Drosophila melanogaster: one gene and its partner. The protein of the gene in region 1 interacts with the protein of each later gene in a pairwise test. Each region holds a gene or a part of one and is shown on either strand. Other genes may lie near its edges. The genes, in order: SkpC and bard.

What was found.
Region 2: the proteins of SkpC (region 1) and bard interact in a two-hybrid assay, tested with the Drosophila melanogaster proteins (one large-scale study listed by BioGRID).

The regions. Positions count from the first base shown.
Region 1 is NC_004354.4:19,810,918-19,820,874, reverse strand, and holds SkpC (SKP1-related C), read right to left. Parts: upstream 4,804-9,957; 5' UTR 4,738-4,803; coding exon 4,261-4,737; 3' UTR 4,175-4,260; downstream 1-4,174. Other genes in the region: SkpD (SKP1-related D), read right to left, coding at 7,598-8,074.
Region 2 is NT_033777.3:18,075,761-18,086,915, reverse strand, and holds bard (bard), read right to left. Parts: upstream 5,869-11,155; 5' UTR 5,796-5,868; coding exon 4,449-5,795; 3' UTR 4,333-4,448; downstream 1-4,332.

The DNA of each region.
Region 1 (9,957 bases):
CGAATGTAGCTTTTCCTTCTTCCTATTAGCGCTATTTCTATTGCAAGATGACGATAGCTTCTGCTGAGAATACTGAGGAGTAGCTTGGAAGCACTGATTGCCTCGTCTTCTGTAGTTATTGCCTACTATTTCAACGGGACTGCCAGGATGTGAGCAGGATGTAAGGCCAGGTCGCACTCCCTTCCTTCAGTGTAGGCCATGAGGGCTACTCCTCCTCCATCCCTTTACTATTTCCTTGTCTCGAGAACCGTCTGTGTAGAGTAGCGTATAGTTGTTGTTCTTAAGTTGGTTCTTGATTTGTAAAAATTGTTTATTGTAGGTACGTATCCTTGTTTGTGCTTGCTTTTTGTTAGTCCGCAAAATTGGGTGTCTATTACTTTATGTCTGCTATGGCTGATTTATGTTTATAAAGTATGGAGATGGATAGGTTAAGTTTGTTGCAAGCTATGATGCGTTGGTTGATGGCCGAATTCGGGTATCGGTATGGGTATCGGGTATCGGATAAGGAGTTAGAAGTTATGAAAAAGTACATTGATTTCGCTGACACTTGTCAGCGGTGGACAAAGCATTATGTAAGCAAAGATAAAGGGTGCCTTGTTCGCGCGCTTACACGGTGTTTCGTACTCAAAACAATGGGTAATGCGAAGTCTATTTCGGAAAGGCACAGACTTTTTATTATTTCTACCATTATGTGTGGGGTGGCTATTGTATCTGCCGCTGGATAAGCATTCCATGATGTTTAGCGATTTATGTAGTTTGTTTGTGTGAGCTTTATACTTGTATTTTGTGCCAAAAGATAAACCTAAAACTAAAAGAGTGTGATATTTGCTGTTGGTATTGAAACTTGGCATGTGCAATGCACATTGTGCATTGTGTTTTTCGCAGAGATGTGTATATGTCTATGTCACCAATTACTTATTTCAGTAAGAATGGTATCCAAGTTAATAGGTACATACATATTTTCCCTTTCTTTAAGTCCGAAAGATTGTTGAATGCAATTAGAAAGATAATAACTTGTGGAATGACGTTGTAAGGTGCGTGGACTTCTGAGAGTTTCTGATTTTCCTGTTGATCATGAAATTTGAGCCATATTTTATTATTATTATATTATATTGTGTGCAATCCCACTTTTTCATATAATATATTTTTTATTATTTTATATATATATATAATATTTAAAAGGAATATATTTAATCAATCAAACTTTTGTCATATTTTCCGAGCTCTTGCTAGCATGATTAGCATTTGCCCTAGAATCTGAACTGCTGAGGGAAAGTAAAGTACACAATGGCAGGAACAGAGCTCGTCTTCCTGTTCCTGCATATGCATATATCATTAAAATAGGTCCAGACACATATGTACATACATATATATACATATATACATCTATTTATTGTGATTCCTTCCCCTCTGCAGCTCCATATTTGCTACTCAAACTCCACATTTCACATCTGACTTGATGGTCAAACCCCTCGAAGAAGAAGCATTTTGAGCGACTGTAGAGCAGAAATCGCCAGTAGGAAAATGATAAATTACATAAAAATCAAATTGTATGTATCTGTGTCTAAAAAAAAAATAAACGACCCAAAGCGCAGGGGGGAAAAAAAAGCGAAGGGAAATTTTCCCTCGAATTTTCATTCGCAATGTTATGTAGTTGACAGACCAGATGCCCCCTTTCGATTTCCTTTTCTTTTATTTTTTTTTTTTTTAAGTAGGAAATTGTGTCCGAAAAGAGCTGTCTCCTCTCTCGCTCTCGCTCGCGCTCTCGCCCTATCGCGCCGTCCTTCTTATCAAATGATTTTCTTCTGTAAAACTTTCGCTGGCCGTCACAGGCGGACAAGGACAAGACAACCCTTTTAGTCCACCCCATTTGGATGCTTGGTGTTGGTGTTGGTGGTGTTTCATGAGAGCTTGATTTCTGGCCACGACCAGTGCACTGAGAAATAAGGTCGGCAAATGCGGAAATCTTACGCAGTCATCGGTATTGTATTTCAATGCTAAAGGCATTAAAATATATACATAAATATAATAAATACATATATTCATGGGAAATCAATTAAAACAATGCTAGTACCTATGAGCTAAATTCATGACGTGCTTAAAGTTTCTCCTTTATTTGATGTCCAAGCACTGGTTGTTGTTTTTTTTTGCAGTGCATCAGTGTCGCCTCCGCTTGTCACTGCCAGGCTAAAGAATAAAAATAAATAAATAAAAACAAGAATTTTGCCGTGATTTTGCATTTCTGGGCAGGACTTCAACCCAAATATAAAATATACTGTCTCGCTGTGGGAACTAAGTCACTGGGTCCACCTTAAAAGAGCGTAAAGAAAACTACACACACACACACATCCGCATGTACACACGCACACGCACACGCACACACATGCATGCGCTTTACGGCCATAAATTAAACATGCCGCCCGCAAAAGTATGCTATGGATTTGAACTCGGATTGCGAATGCGCTGAGGCGTGCGAATGCCAAAGTTACCAGAAAAAAGAGCTGGCGAAAACTTTCACTCCAGAGTCGTGGCTGGCATGGTGGGCATACCTCATACTCTATTTTCCATTTTCCACTTTCCATTTGTTTGTCTGTAGTCGCAGCAGCAGCAGCAGCAGCAGCAGCCGCAGCCGCAGCAGCACAACTTGAAAACTACTTTGGCCAAGACAAAGTGGCTCAGAAGCACGCATACGCATGACCAGAAGTTGGCCAAACTGGGATATGTCGATGGGCCTGTACATAACTGGTCCACCCTCGGCTTGATTATAAATTTCAACTTAATTACTAAAACAGAATTTAATCCTTTCGAAGTGTGTCGCCGACTTGCCCATTATGTATGTACATACATATGTATGTATGTATGTATGTACAAGCATGCCTGATGAAATGGGTATGCGGTTGCAAACTACAAAGGATGCCTCACAACTTATGGCCAAGCAAACTATCCGCTCGCTCCGCTATCACCGACACAGTTAGCAACAACAATCGCCCGAGGCAATTGTGCGGCGTGGTGCACAGTGGGGCAAAACTGACAGCACTTGGCACACATTTTGGATAGTGTCTTCTCACTGAAGTGTAATATACGTGCATTTCTTGTAAAGTTGATAATGATGATAATATTCATAATAATGATACAACGTACATATTTATATCGTTTAGAACAAACATATAATTATATCCACTGCATTATTATTCTTATTGAGCAGCTATATAGCATACCATTCTGAAATTTATTCAATTTTCAACAAATTACAGAGCACAAGGTAAATAAATTTTGATATTAATATTTTTATATTTCCATAAATATATGTATACATATGTACATACATTGCGTACTTTACAATTGAGAATCTTAAGTCGAGTGTGGCACATTTGGCTATATTTTTGTTATGTTTATGCAGGAAAACCAATGGCCACATATACACGCACACACATACGCCCACCTGACATTCTTGTATGTGTATGCTTTCACCCCCTAAGCACACACACAAACAAACGCACACTGGGCACATACATACATACATACATACATACATGACTAAACCAATTTCCACAGAGCATTTTAAATTTCAAGCACACATGAAACGGACGAAGAAAGGCGAGTGGCAAGCCGTAGGCCGCCCCCTCCCACATTCACACACAGATGTGTGGGCAGCAACTTAACTTACAATAAAGGACATTGCCCAGCCTCCTGCCACCCACCACCCGCCTCCCCACCCCGCAACGGTATGTAAAGTGCGTAAGTTGTGTCCAAGGGTTTGGAATACGAGGATTGGGACCCTGGGCTTGGGTTCATTTGGGGGTTTTCTGCACTATTTTACATACGTAATGCGAACTTCATGGATGCAGAGCTCATAAGCGCCAACGGCCAAGGCTTTTGGAAATTAGCGTGGCTGCCAAATCAGGAACCGGCTTAAGGAGCACCAGGATTCCGGGATTGGGGTGCTATGGAGTGGAGTGGGTCGGTGTGTGGTGTGGTGTGTGGTGTGTGCTTGTATCCCCGGGCGGCTTGGTGGCAATCAACTGGGAATAGAGCCAGAGCACTCCTTTAGCCCAAGCGAACATGAAACGATTTAAAAAGTTATGTTTTATGTGTTCTTGTTGCCAAAGTAAACTGTAAACTGAATATGTTGATAAAATACAATAGATATGCTTTCAAAAATACTCGTAATATCATATTTATTCTGGTGAAACAAATAAGTTCTCAACAAAGGAAGGTTCCAGGTGTCCCAACCGGATTTGCTCCGAAAGAGACTGTGCCTCACAGGTCTTCGCCCAACTGGGCCGTCCTGCTCGGTATTTCGTCCGGGATGTTGAACGTGTGGCGGATCTCCTCGGGAGTCTTTCCCCTAATCATATTGGCCACCGTCTTGCAACAGAGATCCACTAGGCCCTTGATCTCCAGATAGTTGGCGGCCAGTATGATTTCGAACAAGGTGGGTTGATCGACGTTAATAAAGTTGGCGTCCCAGGCTGAGATGTCATGTGGGCTTTGCGGGCTCAACTCCACGCCCTCCGCTCCATGGGCATCATCGTCCTTGTGGTGATAGATCCAGGTCAGAATCTTGGATAGGATGAACGCGTTCACCTTGGGCAGCGGCACAATGGCATTCTCGTCGTTCTCCACGGCAGAGACCTCCAACATGGTCTTGATGGTTTCGGAGAGCTTGGCGGCTCGGACTTCCGTTGAAAAGATCATCCCATCCGAGGACTCAAGCTTGATGGTGGGAGCATCCATTTTCGGTTTGCCTTGCCTTTCTATTTGCCAAACTACGTTCAAAGAGATTCAGAAGAACAAGATGGGATGATTGATAGAGCACGTGCCAACTGGACGATTCGAAAGTTCAAAGAAAAAAGAATAGAGAACAGAGTGACCAGATGTGATCACTGCGGAATCACTGTCGTCAAGTGTGTACACACTAGAAATTGGAAGTCTTAACATTAAGAACTGTAGATTCGCTTTAGCTTTTTTATTGAGAATCGCGAATCGTGTTTTATTTATCATATCAGACCTTAAAAGTGTAATAAAAAAAAGTGTAATATGAATTTTAAAACCTATATGAATGTTGGGTAAGTGCTCAATCAAAAAATTTCAAAATAATAGTTCCGGAAAGAACCCCGTAAAAAATATTTTTAACAGAGGGAACTGGAAAATAGCACGTGGGCTTACATTACTTGCTCTAATTTTTCAAAAAAACTTTAAATTAAATATATATTTTTTCATTTGAAAAACAGACGGACAGAAGGCACTTTCTACCTGTTACATACTCATTAGCGATTCTAACATTCCCTTTTACTGTATTATTATTGTTTTATGAAACACTCCAATTATGTGTAACTTGCTTTCCATAAAATATATACACTTAACAGAATCAAAATTTTCAGTTACCGTAAAACTGTATTTTGAACCGAGTTCCAAAATAATATATTAATATTAAATCCAAGATACAAAGAAGAATTTCGATTTGCTAGCTTTAGTACTTAATTACGTACTTAATACGAGGATGAGGATGCAATTCGGCCAAAAAAGTGTCCGTTTTGGATAGCAAAAACAAAGTGCGAAAATACCATTATTCGAGTGAGTTTTCCTAGCCGCCAAACGGAACGCGATTTAAGTTTTTTTTTTTGTGTGCCAGTTGACGCAAAGGCTCTAACCTATTAGGCGGTCAGCAAAAAAATGAACTCGAGTCATGCCGTCTTGTGGAGCACCCTTTTCGAGCCGTCCCGGGGATCACCCCTTCCCATCGATTGACAGCAGCCGCACATAAACCAAAACCCTAAGATTTGTATTTAATTTAAATGCTTAAAAGATATATTAATTAAAAAAAGTGAGCATGTGGACAAGAATAATTTTAGGGTTAGAAGACATGAATACAGAGGGAGAAGTTTCTGCTGAAGTAAACATATTGATAAATTCTATCGGACCTAAACCTATACTTGCGTGAAAGATATCAAACTGCGAATGTACACTGAGAGAAATTTTCTGAATAATTATATCCGCAAATATTTGAATTATTCGCAATAATTCCTTTAAATGTGAACCCAAGGAGGAGACTTATTTTATATTACTTTTGTATTTTTAATTTTTATTTAATTTGCCACGCCCACAAACCGCACAAAACTGCCACGCCCACACTTTCGAAAAACGTGTTGATATTATTTCAAATTTTTATTAGTCTCGTAAATTTCTATTGATAAAAACAAAAATTTTGCCACACCCACTCGAACGCCCTAAAACCGCCCAACCGGTCACGCCCACACTTTGGAATAATTTTTTAAAATTTTTATAATTTTTTTTTATATCTATCGATTTTTCTGAGTAACGGGTATCTGATAGTCGGGGAACTCGACTATAGCATTCTCTCTTGTTTTTCCCAAAGTTGAACAAATTCTATACAGATTAACGCGACAAATGAATACACTGAGAACAATTGCTTGAACCCTAATTATATTGCTAGACTATAAGCTATTAAATATTAATTAAAATCTAACCGACCTTACCCGCAACCCACTCACTTACATTTAATTTTTACTGATTAAAGAAACTGATTTGAAAAAAAAGTAATAATTTATAAAACAAGAATATCGTGAAGAACAACAACACTGAAAAAAAAAACTGAAATATGGAAAAACTTAAATAAATAATTTATTCTTTTTTTTTTAGATTATATTTAGTCATCTTAACGTCTATTTAATTATAGTTTTTTTTCTTAACTTACATAAGTCATTATCTATCACCTTACTCTGAGCAAATTAAATTTATTTCAATTTGTTATGTACTTATTATTGGTTCCTATAAATATTGTTATTAATCATTAGTCAGCAAATGATAGAAATGAATATGTAAAAATTAAAATACTGAACTCGGCTGATGTTTCTCCGGACATAGGGCACATAAGGGGCCACTAGAGCCATTGCTCTCAAGGAAAGCTAGGTCATAGGTACACCTATTGTTTCATGCTTTCATTCTCTTCTTGAACTATCTTCGTTCGAATATATTAATTTGCTTCCTCCGATTTTGTATACTAACTCCTATATTCTTTTGTCGCAAGCATAGACCACCACCCCACAACGCCAAAGAGCTAGAGCCGGATTCTGAAGCGTGCATCCGCCAGTACAGGTTCCCTTGCCTTCCATCAATTCTTTTCGTTACACGTAACCAGTCTGAACCAAACATCCAAATGATCTTATATGCATATTTCATAAAAATAGTTTATACTATACATATATCCACACTTTCATTATTTAATTGATTTTAAATACATCGTTTTGTATATATTAAAATTATTACCTTTTAGAGTCTAAAACGTGGAAGACTACAGCACAGTACAGATCAACTCTCATTCTAAATTGATTAAAGGTAATTATCTTTGATACCAATTATCGGTCCGAATAGCCACTGGGATTGTAATCTAACCTTATTTATTTATCATAGTCCATAACATGCCACCTTTCTAAGGTAACACAAAATGTACTTGTTCCAACACTGGTATATATATATATATATATTATATAATATTAGTATATTTATCTAGGCGAAACAAAAAAGTTCTCAACAAAGTAAGGTTCCGGTGAAGTTTCCTCTTCTTCTCTGTGCCTCACAGGTCTTCGCCCAACTCGGCCGTATCGATCGGTAAATCGTCTTCGATGTTGAACGTCTGGCGGATCTCCTCGGGAGTCTTTCCCCTAATCATATTGGCCAACGTCTTGCAACAGAGATCCTCTAGGCCCTTAATCTCCAGATAGTTGGCGGCCACTGTAATTTCGAACAAGATGGGTTGATCGACGTTAATAAAGTTGGCGTCCCAGGGTGAGATGTCATGTGGGCTTTGCGGGGTCAACTCCTCGCCCTCCGCTGCCTGGTCATCATCGTCCTTGTGGTGATAGGCCCAGGTCAGAATCTTGTTTAGGATGAACGCGTTCACCTTGGGCAGCGGCACAACGGCATTCTCGTCGTTCTCCACGGCAGAGACCTCCAACATGGTCTTGATGGTTTCGGAGAGCTTGGCGGCTTTGACTTCCGTTGAAAAGATCACCCCATCCGAGGACTCAAGCTTGATGGTGGGAGCATCCATTTTCGGTTTGCCTTGCCTTTCTATTTGCCAAACTACTACAAACGAGTGATTCAGAGAGAAGTACGAGATGGGATGATTGATAGAGCACGAGCCAACTGGACGATTCGAAAGTTAAAAAAAAAAGGATATGAAAGAATGTGAGAACAGAGTGACCAGGTGGGATCACTGCGGAAACACCGTTGTCAAATGTTTACACAGTAGAAATGAACATCAAGAACTGTAGGATCGCTTTAGCTTTCTTATTAAGAATCGCGAATCTTGTGTTATTCATTATAGCAGACCTAAAAAGTGTAATAAAAAAAAGTGTAATATGAATTTTAAAACATATATGAATGTTGGGTAAGTGCTCAATTAAAAAATTTCAAAATAATAGTTCCGAATAGAACCACGTACAAAATATCTTTAACAGAGGGAACTGCTTTAGCAAGCAGGAGTTGAACTGCTTAAGAGATAGGACGTGGGCATACCTGCTTCTTTCTACCTGCTACATACTCATTTGCGAATCTAACATTCCCTTTCACTGTATAACATGAAATCAGTTACCAAAATTCGAAATACTCCAATTATGTGTAACTTGCTTTCGCTACAATATATAAACTTAACTGAATGCGGATGCAATTCGGCCAAAAAAGTGTCAGTTTTGGATAGCCAATAGCTACACCTTATGATTGAGTAGAACAGGATGAAGGACTCTGGCACCACACGACTCCCAGAGGAGCACTTTTTGGCCTGTTTTTGAAGTCCGATCAAATCGCTTGAGCTCAAAACGCTGGCATCCGCAAATGTTTTCAATTTCCCAAATGTATTCCAAGTTTTCTCCGCCCATCGTCCTTCGTCCTTCAAAATCGACGGGTGCATGGCCAGAACTTTGATCTCTGTATTATTCAATATATTGAAATTTGAAGCGTAGATGTCTGGCTGTATTGGCCGGGAATTGCCAGCAGCTGCCGGCTGCGAAGGACGAAGGACATCCAATGACTTGTGACTGACGGGGACGTGTGTGTCTGTGCTTGTGTGCGTGGCGGTGGTGGGGTAATAACAGGAGGGTGGGGGGGTTGTGTGTGTGAGTTCGACCGTGCCAAACGCACACACACGCATGAATTTTTTACACAGGACTCGGGGAGCTTTCTCGTTTCCTGTTTTCGCAATTCGCATTATTTTCATTTTTTTTTTTTTTTTTTTGAATTTTTTACTGGACGCCAGGACTTACGAGCGATTACGTTCTTTAGCTCGTGCCACATGTGTCTGTGTGGCTGTGAGTGTGTGCGTTACTACCCCCATTTGACTTTCACTTGCGTCTGGACTCGTCGTTTGCCCCTTTTTCCCGCTTTCACTCGCTTTCACTTTGCCCGCTGGCCAAAAATAACGAAAGTGTGAAGCGTTTGTCTGTCCCTCTATTTGGTTTATTCGTGCATGTGTGTGTGTGTGCATGTTATTTATGCCAATTCATGTGGGGCCTTTAAATTTTTCATTCACTTTTTCGCTCAGAGTTTTCCGCATTTTTCTACGCAGATCAATGAAGCTCTTAGCTCTGAACGCTGGCCAACAGATGGCGTTGCGTTGCGGCCTAATTAGACAAATGCAAAGGAAGGAAGAAGAATGAAAGGGGTTCGCTCTACCCTTTGCTACCAACTGTACCTTCTGGCGTTTCGAGGCTTTCTCACAGTTTCTGGACAGGAATTTTTCGCGCTGCGCATTAGCCGTAAATGGCATTGAAATATTACCAAATTTAAAAACCATTAGAAGCAGACCCCATCAATCTGTCCCACTCGCTCGCGCTATTTACCTCCTATATACATATATATATATTCATCCTTGCCGAAGGAAGAGTGAAAATCTTAGCACCGAAATTGCGAGGCAAATCAAAGAATACAACAGCAACA
Region 2 (11,155 bases), on another chromosome or scaffold:
CGGAGACAGGCGAAAAGTTAAATGGTAAATAGAGAGCCCAGACAGACGTCCATATGTGAATGCTTGGTCTGTCTGTCCCTGTGCATTTTCCCCTTCTCAGCTCATGGTCTTAGGCTCTGACTTTGCCGTCTGCCTCGTGAAAACCACAAGCGCATTATGAATGAATAATGTATGAATGAAAATTGCATGCACGTGCCCGCGAGCTACAAAATGTTGCACTCTTCGCAGTTTTCTGCTGCCGATGATTGCGGAGATGAAGAACTTTGTTCGATTTGAACTCTGGAAGTAGTAAGGTATAGATTTTCGTTTAAAAGCTTAGGGTTTATTACCTTATGCAATCTTATTGCAGTAGAACTATTCAGATTTATTTATTTATTATTATATTTCAATATATGACAATCACAAAAGAACAGTTATTGAATATCATTCCAGAAGACCTAGATCTAAATCGAACTCCTTTCTTTTTTTTTCTGAATATAGTGGGTATAAAATTAATTTGATTTCCTTTGCGCGATCAGCGACCAAAGCCAACACACGGAACCGATCGGATTCGAGCCTCGCAAAGAGTTCGTCAAGTTCGTCACCTAAGTCTTTTGTTTTGCAGCGCCTCTGTTGATGTCTTCATTAGCGAGGTGCAGCGATAAGCGTGTTTAATGCTGGAAATTTGTTTTTAATAACCCAGAAGAACGCATTTAATTAATTGTTTGGTAGGGGCAAATGCTTTGTCACAAAAAAAAAAAAGCATCGGCGGTAGCTAGACGATTTAAATGCAAATCTGAGCTGCCTGTGAGTGCATCGGATCGTTAAGTTGCCTGAAGATATTCAATTTGATCACTTTGCTGCTTCTTAAGCATTGTTAGATGCAGTTATTAAATTTGACAGTTTACAGTTGGCGATAGCTTTTGATGCTTTGCCGCCGCGGCTACCAAATGACTTCGATTTGGAGCATTATCAGCCGCGTGTTTGAGTTTCTGGTGCAGCGACGGCTGTAGATGAAAGGCGGCTAGCCAAGGAAAAGCGGTAAGGAAAAGCGATTTCAATTAGCATTTTGATGGCTCTACAAATGAGCGGACAGAACAAAAATCGCCGCCATTGATAGGCCATTGATAGCACATCATAAAGCAGGCGATCATTTGTCCATCGCCGTTCATCTGCTTCATTACACTACACAAAAAATTATAGTGAATTTCATTAAAAATGTATGCAAACCTTATAAAATATATAGATTTAACAACTAAACTATGCAATGAATTTTAAATTGATTGTAGTTATCTATATATAATATAAATCACTGCTCTAATGCAAATATTTTTCCGCTTTCATCGGAGAGGCGGCTTAGGTTTGAGTCGCTCACGTTATTAAATCATTTGGAATTTATGATACGTCACGCGATTTTCGAAAGACACCAGCCATCAAAGTGGCCTCCAACTGAGCCAGCTATGACAATCTTCGGGGTAATTAAGTTTTTGCCAAGTGACAAATTAATCGAACCGCGCCAATTGCCGCAATGACCGTCTGGGACCGGCCCGCCTGGCATTAATCAATGAGATGTCAATTCGACTGTGACTCGGGGATGCAATTTTCCTTTTTTTTTTCATCCATATATTTTTAAGCATTTTTTGTTTTGTTTTGGCCGAAAACAAATGGCAGGCTACGATTGAGGTTCGAACGAACATTCAACGAACCGGCGACAAGATGTCAAGTTTTCGGTTTGGCAATAAAATTGTAAGCATTTATCTTGTAGTTCGTTGGCGTTGTTGTTCGTTTGCCTGTGTCCGAGGTCTTTGTATTGTGCGTAGACCCAAAATAGGGTCTTACTTTTCTCTTTTTGCATTACAAAAGTATAGAGTTACCAAACGATTTGTCAACGTTTAGCTAGTTATGCGCCAAACTGAAGGAAACTGGCACCGGATCCAAACATTTTGTTACCTCGTTAAGATTTGTTGACACTCGTGTTAATGTTTTGTGTTATTTTCGTTTGTGTGGTTTTTTCTTGGTTCGATGGTGATGCAAATCAACACGGTGGGCCACCTGGAAAGCCAGTTCATGGTTAAGACTTCGTGAAAGAATACCGATCCGTTAACGATAAATTGTTGAACTGAAGACCGAATTGATTGTCTTAAGTCGATGATCTTAAATAAAAAAAGTATATATATATATATTCGAATATTATTAATAGGTTTAAATGTTTACTTATATTGATAATTATATAAGAGGATAAAATTGTTTTGTTCTCTTGAAATATGTACATTATCAAAGATTGCTGTGAGTAAATATTGGTATTGATTTGATTAGTTAGTTTAAACGAAAATTGCATCTTTAGGGCAACAATCTTGCGTTGCTTCTATTTATCTGGAATCTGCATGCTGAATCTCCTAGCTTTTATGCTTCCTGAGATCTCGACGTTAATACGGACGGACGGACATAGCCTGATCCTGATCTAGAATATATATACTTACTTCTGCCTGTTACATACTTTTCAACGAATCTAGTATAATAAAGCAGAAATCATATTACTATATTATTTAATATGCAGAAAAGCTTTCGCATTACTTTATATAGAAAGGCGCACCTAATTAATATTTTTTGTAATATCCCATAATTGATCACCGATCATTACAAGCTCTAATTTCACCTTAACCATGGCAACAACAGCCACTGAATTTTACAAAAAGTAAAAGACAATATCAAAAGCAAGCCGCATCGTCTTATCGCCGTATTTATGGTCTGAGCGATCGAACTTATCCGACACAGTACACCACTTAAGGGCCTCTGGGGATTTTTTGGACCTTTTATGTTTAATTTAATTATGGTAAAATCAGCTGGTGCTAGGCTGCCTCATTTCGATTAATTTGATTCGATTCGATTTCATTAACAAGCTTGCTCTGCAAATCCACAAAGTTGTGGCATCGAACCAATTTTGGGGCTTAAAAGTCAAGAAATCCTCGTGTTCGCGTTCCAATTTCACCTACAAATTCGTTACACTTGGGACAGGTTGTAGATGACCCTTTGATTGCCATCACCATGACGAATTGTGTGCCCTAGTGTCATGTTAAATAAAATTGATAGAGAAATTAGGCAAAATGCTTAAGTTGGGTTGGAGTGCGAAGATGTAGCGGAGCGGCCTTTTAATTGGGTCGCATTAGTTTTGGACCTTAAGTGGTGCATATGTCAAAGAAATGCCCCTGCAATTAGTCAATTAATGAAAAACCAATAGATATGCGGCTAACACAAGTCGATAGCCAAAAAAAAGGTCTATCCCCCCCAAAAAAAAAAAAAACGTTTGGAAATGGCAACTACGCCAGTTGGTCGGTCAGTTGGTCAGTCGATCTCTGGTCTCCTCCGTTGGCCATAAATTAATAGTCCATTATTTCTAAATTTTGTCCACTTCAAACTGTCGTCGCCGAGTCGCCCAGAGCCAACTGACTGCCCTCGTTTGCATTTTAATCTCTTGATGGGGCGATGGGGGCCACAAATTAGTCCGGACCCCACTTTGTGTTGACTTGCCAGTGCGGCCAATAATTTAGGCCGACAGACGCGATCGGCTCACGTAATGTTGGAAAACGAAAGCAAAACTATGCTCTTTTTCCCAAAAGCCATATTTTTTTTCGAAGAGAAAAGTTATGTAAATCATTCAGCCAGGCGCACATTTTTTCAAAATTGCTTAATTTCCTTCACGTGCAAGTACGCATGGGATAGTTATCGTTTATAGTAGATATGTTATGGGATATTATGTTATAATCCAGAAGGCTAGACTACCCTGTGATTATCCTTTCCGATCGGAAACCTCATAAAACAAAGTTTACATATTCATTATGGAATAACCAAAATATTAACAATTACACACAAATTATAGTTAAACATCTATAATCTAGCTTATTTGAAAGCAGTTGTATTGCGCCAACCCTGAAGTAAGAGAGCCAAATCCCCAATGCCATGCCAAACTTCACTTCTTTTGGCCAGTTGGCCAATGGTCAGGAGTTTCGGTGATCGGGGAACTGAGCCGGACAGTCGGCAAAGAGCTTTGGGCACTTTGCGAACTCATTTTCCGACTCAATCAAATCAAATAATTTATGCCTCGCGAAATTAACTGGCCATGTGAGTGGAGGTCATGCCACATGTGAGGAGAGTCCAAGAAGCCATGACGGCAACTTGGGGCCCAAAGCACAGTTAAATCTTTTCGCTGGCCATAAAGTGTGTTGATTTTTCCATTTGCCAGACCCTAAAGCGCTGCAATGCGAAATAAATAAATGTTTGCCGTTGAAGGAGAGACCTCTTGGAAAATTGCCTGCAATCGGGGAGTGTTTGAGAATGAAAATGTGCGTTGCTTTTGATTTAGCCAGTGCGTCTTATTTATATACAATAGAAAATATAAAAAATTACAAAATTCATGAAAAAAAATATTTGTTTAGGAGTATATACAATTGGTAAAATTGTTGAGCTGTTATTCACTCAAAATCAAACTCGAAACCATCCTCCTGATATTCGTATTCGCTGCTGTCACAGGTGACCTGAACATATTTGTTGCTCTGCCAGTGATAATATTCCTCGGGTGTGAAGTTGCCCCACATCATGTCGCTGAACACCTGCAGTGGTCTGGGATTCCTTTCCTGATTGCGAATATTCACGAGCTTAGTAAGTTTCTCCCAGTTGCTGTGGTAGCCGTTCAGAGCCAAGTGCTCCAGATTGACGCACTCGGCGACCAGTTCCAGGAGCTGAGTCTCCCGCACAATCTCCCAGCCACTGAAGCTGAGCACCTCCATTTGTTGGCAGGGCATGTGCTGGCGATCCAGGAAGAAATCATTGTGGCACCAATTCTCGCATATCACCTTCCTCAGCTTGGGCAGTTCGAGGAGCAAACTTTGCTGCCACCGAGCTGGCAATTGAACCACTTCGTTGTTCAGGGCAATTCGGGTGATCCTTTCGCTTTTGGCCACCACAATCTGCTGGAAGATGGTCTCCTGATCTGCGTTCAATTGCCGCGAATCATCGAATCGCACGGATAGTTTCTGTAACTTGGGCAACTGCAGCACCTCCGATAGCATGCATTCTACGGTGCTCAAGTTGATTTTTAGCACTTCCAGATTGGGCAATTTGATGTCTGTGAGTCTCACACAACTGTCGAACTGATCGGTAATGTCAAGGACTCTCAAATTGGTCATTGTCAGACAGATATCCTGAATCCAGCGGCTATCCAATGGCACCGAATGGTACAAGGAGTTGAATACCAGCTCCTCCAACTTCTTGAAGCCACGCATATATAAGCCAGATAGATTCATGCAGGTCATTAGGCGCTTGAGATTGGGCAACATTACCGTCAAGTCGCGGATGTCCTCATCGACCACTGTGTTGGGATTGCCCGCCAATATGCAAGTGTCCACCTTGGGAAACTTGGTGATATTGATATCGCACAGGTGTGTGATATAGTCGTAGAATTCAGAAAAGGAACCAACGCCGTCGTGAACGTGCAGATCCGTGAAGCTATCAGCCATGTGTTCCATAAAGAAGACATAGTCATCGATGTCCAGGAGTCCAAGGAATGGTGTATTTGGACCGATGATCAGGTGCAGTCGCCTCTGCCAGAACTTGAGAATCTGTGGCATGAACTGTGGATAGGCCCTAGCCATGCGTACCTGATCGATCAGATTGTCGATCTCTTCGAAAATCTGCTCGAAAAATATAATGTGCAGGTTGTCGATGTAGTTCGGTTCAATTTCCTCCATCGGTGAACAGGTATTATTTTGCTGGGCAACCAGAGCGTCCTTGTAGAATGCGGTATTGTGCATTTGCGACATTGTATGTATTGTCTGTCAAATGTGATGACTGCTGTGTGTTGCTTCCTCGAAGGCTGCTGTTGGTTGAATGTGCTCTTGTTTTGATGAATCTAAGTTTTTATGCAAATTTAGGTAGTGCATTTAGTGAGGGAGTGAATCAGGTAGTAGTGGGGAAGGATTACCCAGTGTCCTTATCTCTTTTGCAGGCTAATCCTTTGGCAACAGCTGTGCCAGCTTTCAGTAGTAGTTACCTGTAGTTACCTGATCTGTAGGATCGCGCCATGATCGCGCCGGTCCTCATAAATTGCGCCGTCGTATACTGCCTGCAATTTGTAAGCCTGCGCTGTTGTTGTTGCTGCAGAAAAAAAACCCTATCTGTACAGTTATCGCTAGAGAGACTCACTAGTTTGCATATTACACGAACCCAGACGTGTTCCCAGCCAACTTCTCTAGCAACTGCCCTGTTCCAGTCCAGAATCTTGGCCGGATGCGTTGGACAAAACGTGGTCAGCATTCGGCTTTGCCTGGCTTGGCTTCTAGGAAATGCTAACAACTCTCGCAGAGGAATCGTAAACGAAGAACAGTCCCACCAAATGGAATAGAATAGAATGGAATGGATTCTGTGCGAGCTTCAACGATCTAATAATCAAAGCCATGTGTTTTTGTCTGGCAGCTTAGCGAGCGATTAGAGGAATCACAATCACAGAAGACACTGAAAAAGAAACTGCACAGTTTATTATCCGAAGAAATACATTTTCTTTTAAAGATACAGTGTTAGAATTATCTTTATATTAAGGGAGAAACGTAGCTGATGAAAACTGTCGAAGCGATTAAAAGCGAATCCTTTTCACTAAAGTATGTCCAAGGAATATATATGTTAAAAGTAAATGTTATAAGATCACAAACCTTTGTTAATAATATATTTAACATATAATAAATTGAAAAAATCATATATAGGAAAGTAAAATATAAAAATATCAAAAATTGAGGTACATTCTTAGTTTGATTTCCTTTAAAATCTAGTAAAATTTTGCTAGGATAGACTTAAGTACAATTATTAAATAATTTTTGTGAGTGTTGAAGAAGGTTCACACCGTTTCCCGGACAAACTTGTACAGTTGCCCTGCGTTTCCCATTGATAATTCTTGGATACCCTCTGTTGTCAATTGTCATTGGGTTGGCTTTTGTCCAGGGACTAATGGCATTGTTGTCAGCCTTGTGTGCGTCTATGGCCTGTCAAAGCATAAAACTGGGCAACAGACAATGCTGACAATCTTGAGCGGGGAGCCAACTTCTTAATGTAGATATAATGCACATTTCTATTTTGGCCCGGTTGGTGAAAATATTTTCATTTGTTCATATTTTTCAACAACTTTGTTGGCTACACCTCAAATCTGATGTTTATGAATTCTCAGCGACTCTGTTTTCTTCTTTTGGGAAAACGTTGCTTCACACGAGATTTGGAAAACGGGTTGGGGTATATCTCTGATGCAAATGCACTTGTCTCTGGTATTCGTTTTTTTCGGCTATAATATACTTTTTTTTTTTTTTTTGGTTGGTCTCTGTTTGACTGTCTTATCTGAGATCAGTGTCGATCAAGGCAGCAGACGAATTGGGAAACATGACATACCGAAGTATGTGTATGTATGTGTATATGTATGAGGGACTCGAGACTGTTTTAATAATTTTGACGTAATCACATCACAACAATCTACCGTGGAGGCTGTTGGCTTTTGACTTTTCCTGACTCCCAAGTGGACAGTTCTTTTTAGCCTCGATCTCTGCCTGATTTGTTCATTTAAATGAATTACAATATTTTATCTTTACACAGAGATCGTTGGAGCTTAAAACGCTGTTCACATACATATCTCCTTTGCATTATTTGCAGGTAAATAAAAATGAAAAAGTTGAGAACTTTCCAAGCATCATCTGCCTGAAATTCCTATAGCCATAAAAACCGGGACGGCACAAAAGGATCAGGCGGCGGCTGAAATACAGCTGCCACTGTTAAATCAGGTAAGCCCTTTTGGCCAAATTACTTCACACCTCCGTACTGACAAGCCAACACGATCGGTAGCCGTTGCCGCTGCCAGGAAAAAAAAAAAAACGTAAGTGCACGTTTTTTAATTCATTTGTTCTAAAACTTAATCAGCCAGTACGAAAAGAGGAAGACTGCGTTTTTTGGGCAGAGACAAGAAGTCGTGATTGCGCAACTCATAACTCACACACAAGCCAACTTGAACTTGGCTGGCTTTTTGTATTATATATATATATATATTTTTTTTTTAGCTTCTTCTTCGCCTTCTGCTGCTTACATTGTTTAATTAAAAACGAGGCTGTTGTTGCCGCTGCGGCTGCTGTTGCTTTTGCAACACGTACCACGATGATGACAACAACTGCTGCAGCAGCGCAACTGCAACACCAGCAGCAGTAGCGGCAGCAACATCAAGACACACTCTTCAGCTGAAGGGGCAGCACTTCAAGTGGCTCAAAAGGACGACACGTTTTGGCTTCTGTGTAGAGCCGTTGTTAGCTGCGGCTAGCAGTTTGCAGTTGCAGTTGCAGTTGCAGTTGCTGTTTGCAGCTTGCTGCTGCCATGGTGAAGTGGAAAGCAGTAGCTGCAACGGCAGCCAGAAGAGGCGCGCCACTTGCCACAATTACCGGGACGGGACTTTCAGCGAAACTCCGTAGTCGTCTGTCTGCGGCGGCTGCTTAATTTTCAGACAGCCAAGCGATTATATTGCTCCAGAAATATACGAAAATGATGGTTGAGATACTCTTTCCAAGAGGGTATAACCATTAGCTATTAAGTATTAATAATATGAATCTAGAAACAATCTTAACTTATCTCATTTCCTAGAAACTACCAACAATTTTTACGTTAGTTGTACTCAGGGCCATAAACAAAGGGTATTGCCATTACGATTCCTAAGAAGTTAAACCTAGACATGCATACATCCTTAAGTAACTTTTAGTTCGATCCTATCTAGGGTATTCTTTATTCGTAGTTCCCATTCCCGTTTGCTTTGCATCAGCGCGTGGTGTTTATAATTCGCGAATCATGTTGCATTGTTCGGAGCGTCTGTTGGAGCTTTTGCCTCGGGAGATTCTGATTTTGTTCCTGTTTCGTTGGCGATGATGAGGAGCTTCACTTTTTAAGGGGGCACCGTGGAAGCTGGATGGCACCTGGATGGCCCGACATGATGGGGCACATTTGCCATGTGGACTTGAACTTGGCTGGCTCCTGTGAGCTTGGCTCGGCTTTAACAATGACAATTGTTAGTGCCGCAGATCCACAGACGACTGCTGATTATTTTGACTTGATAACGAGCTAAACAATAAAAACAAGCATCAGTCCAAACAAACTGAACAAAACTTTTCGCCAAGTCATGTTTATCAGAAGACCTGGACAGAATTCATCCTCCAAGGCTCAGAGTGTGTTCGCATGTCTTGGTTTTGTAATCAATTTGAATGGCTTGGTGATTTTATTTGGTTGAATTTGAGTTTGTTTTGCAGCTTGTTTGTTGTGTTTACCATAAGTTGTTGCAATTATGTTCGCTGCACTCTGCATAAAAGTGAAAACTAATTGAGGGGAGTGGCCTGGATAAATGGCCAAAGTAAACAATTGAGAAATTAACATGTTCTATGATGCGAACTTAATGGTTTTCCTTTTGCTACCTTAATGTTTGGTAGCACTTTGTGTCATTCGACACGTTTCCTTCTTAACAGTCGTAAATTGGCGATCCATAAACTGGCCAAACAATAAGCGGCTAACAATCGGCCAACAAAATTGTGGACTATGATCATGAGATCTCCTTTGTCTGGCATCCAAAAAGCGATTTGCATAAGAATGCAGCAAACCGGCGAGGTGGTAGCTCCACATTTCCCACCTGCATTTAGTCACAAATGTTCCTCGGTCATAAAGTGTCCACAGTCCACAGCCGAATTATGTATCCAACACTTGATGTTGTCTTCCCCAAATGGACTCCAGATGAAGTGTATTGTGTTGGGCGGATATCTATTGTGTGCTTTTTGGAGCGATCCACTGATGGGATGATATTTATTTTAGTGCTGTTTTACTGCAAATTGTTTTGCTTCTGAATGTCCAAACTATCGATCTGAGATTTTAATTCCATGGTGCCTTGATTGTTTCGCTTCTGAATGTCTTAACTAGGGTATTCGTTTCAGCTCATTAGATGGACAGTTTTTTTAAATGGTCTTTTGAAGTCTTGGCGATCACTTAGTTACCTGTTTTGGGCTTACAACTTGAAAATTGGGTTCTGAAAAGAAATGCTTGACTTTGTTTTTAGTACGCAATCATGCAGAACCCATCTACTGTGCTCTTTTTTCCCAGTTCTCCATAATCGGTTTCAATTACTCACCCACAAAATTCCCAAGAGACCCCACAGACAGCGCACAACCCTCTGTCCTCCACACTCTGGATACTTTAGGTTTTCGCCTTCGTTTATCATTGTACACTTGACTTGACCTCCCGATTCAATTCATAAATCAACAAATCATTAATTTTTCACTCCTCCATCGAGGAAACTACACGCCTGAGTACCTTAACAATTTACCAATTCTTGGTCGAGTTGGAAAACCACACCGAGATTGGTAGACAAGGAATGGGGGAAGAAATGAGAACCCTTGCGCAGTGGGAACTCTTGGCTCCCACAATTAATCAAAGTGAAATTCAGAGTCGAGGCATTGAAATGGAACACGCACACCCTGATAATTTGTTTATTGATCCATTGTGTTGTTTGAGCTGTGGAGCAATATACGAGCATAATTGAACATGCTAATTAAATGTGGGATTAGGGGCCTGGGGGCCTGGGGGGAACTTGCGACATGGAAATCCATAAGCTGTGACCCCCACTACTGGAATTTCGTATCCTGTCGGTCCTTAAGATCGCATTCCTTCTTTTTTTTTCCTTACTGCGGCATGCTACGTAAGATCGCTTATCGTCGCTTCTTAATAAATATCAGTGCAAGGCGATAGCACTCACACTATTTATTATACAAACATATTGTAGATTGACCGCTTATCGACGCATATGATCAGCCGGGTATTCCTGCCACAGACTTTCGATCCAGCCAACCATCGACCATCGACCATCGACGATCGTCGATCGCCGATTGATTGATAATAGCACGAGATGCAGAACGGGTTGATCGGTGGAAAGAAGAGCAAACAGAAAACTCATTAACGCAATAATTAAGACGACAACAAGGTTTTTAAGATAACAGACAGCAGACAGGGATTGCGACATGCTGCAGAGTATTTATTTTCGGTATGTCTGCACTTGGAAAATATTTGTTCGAGCTAGTTAGGTGTATGAACAGACTTGTTAGCATAGATACAAATTAATAGATGGATGATA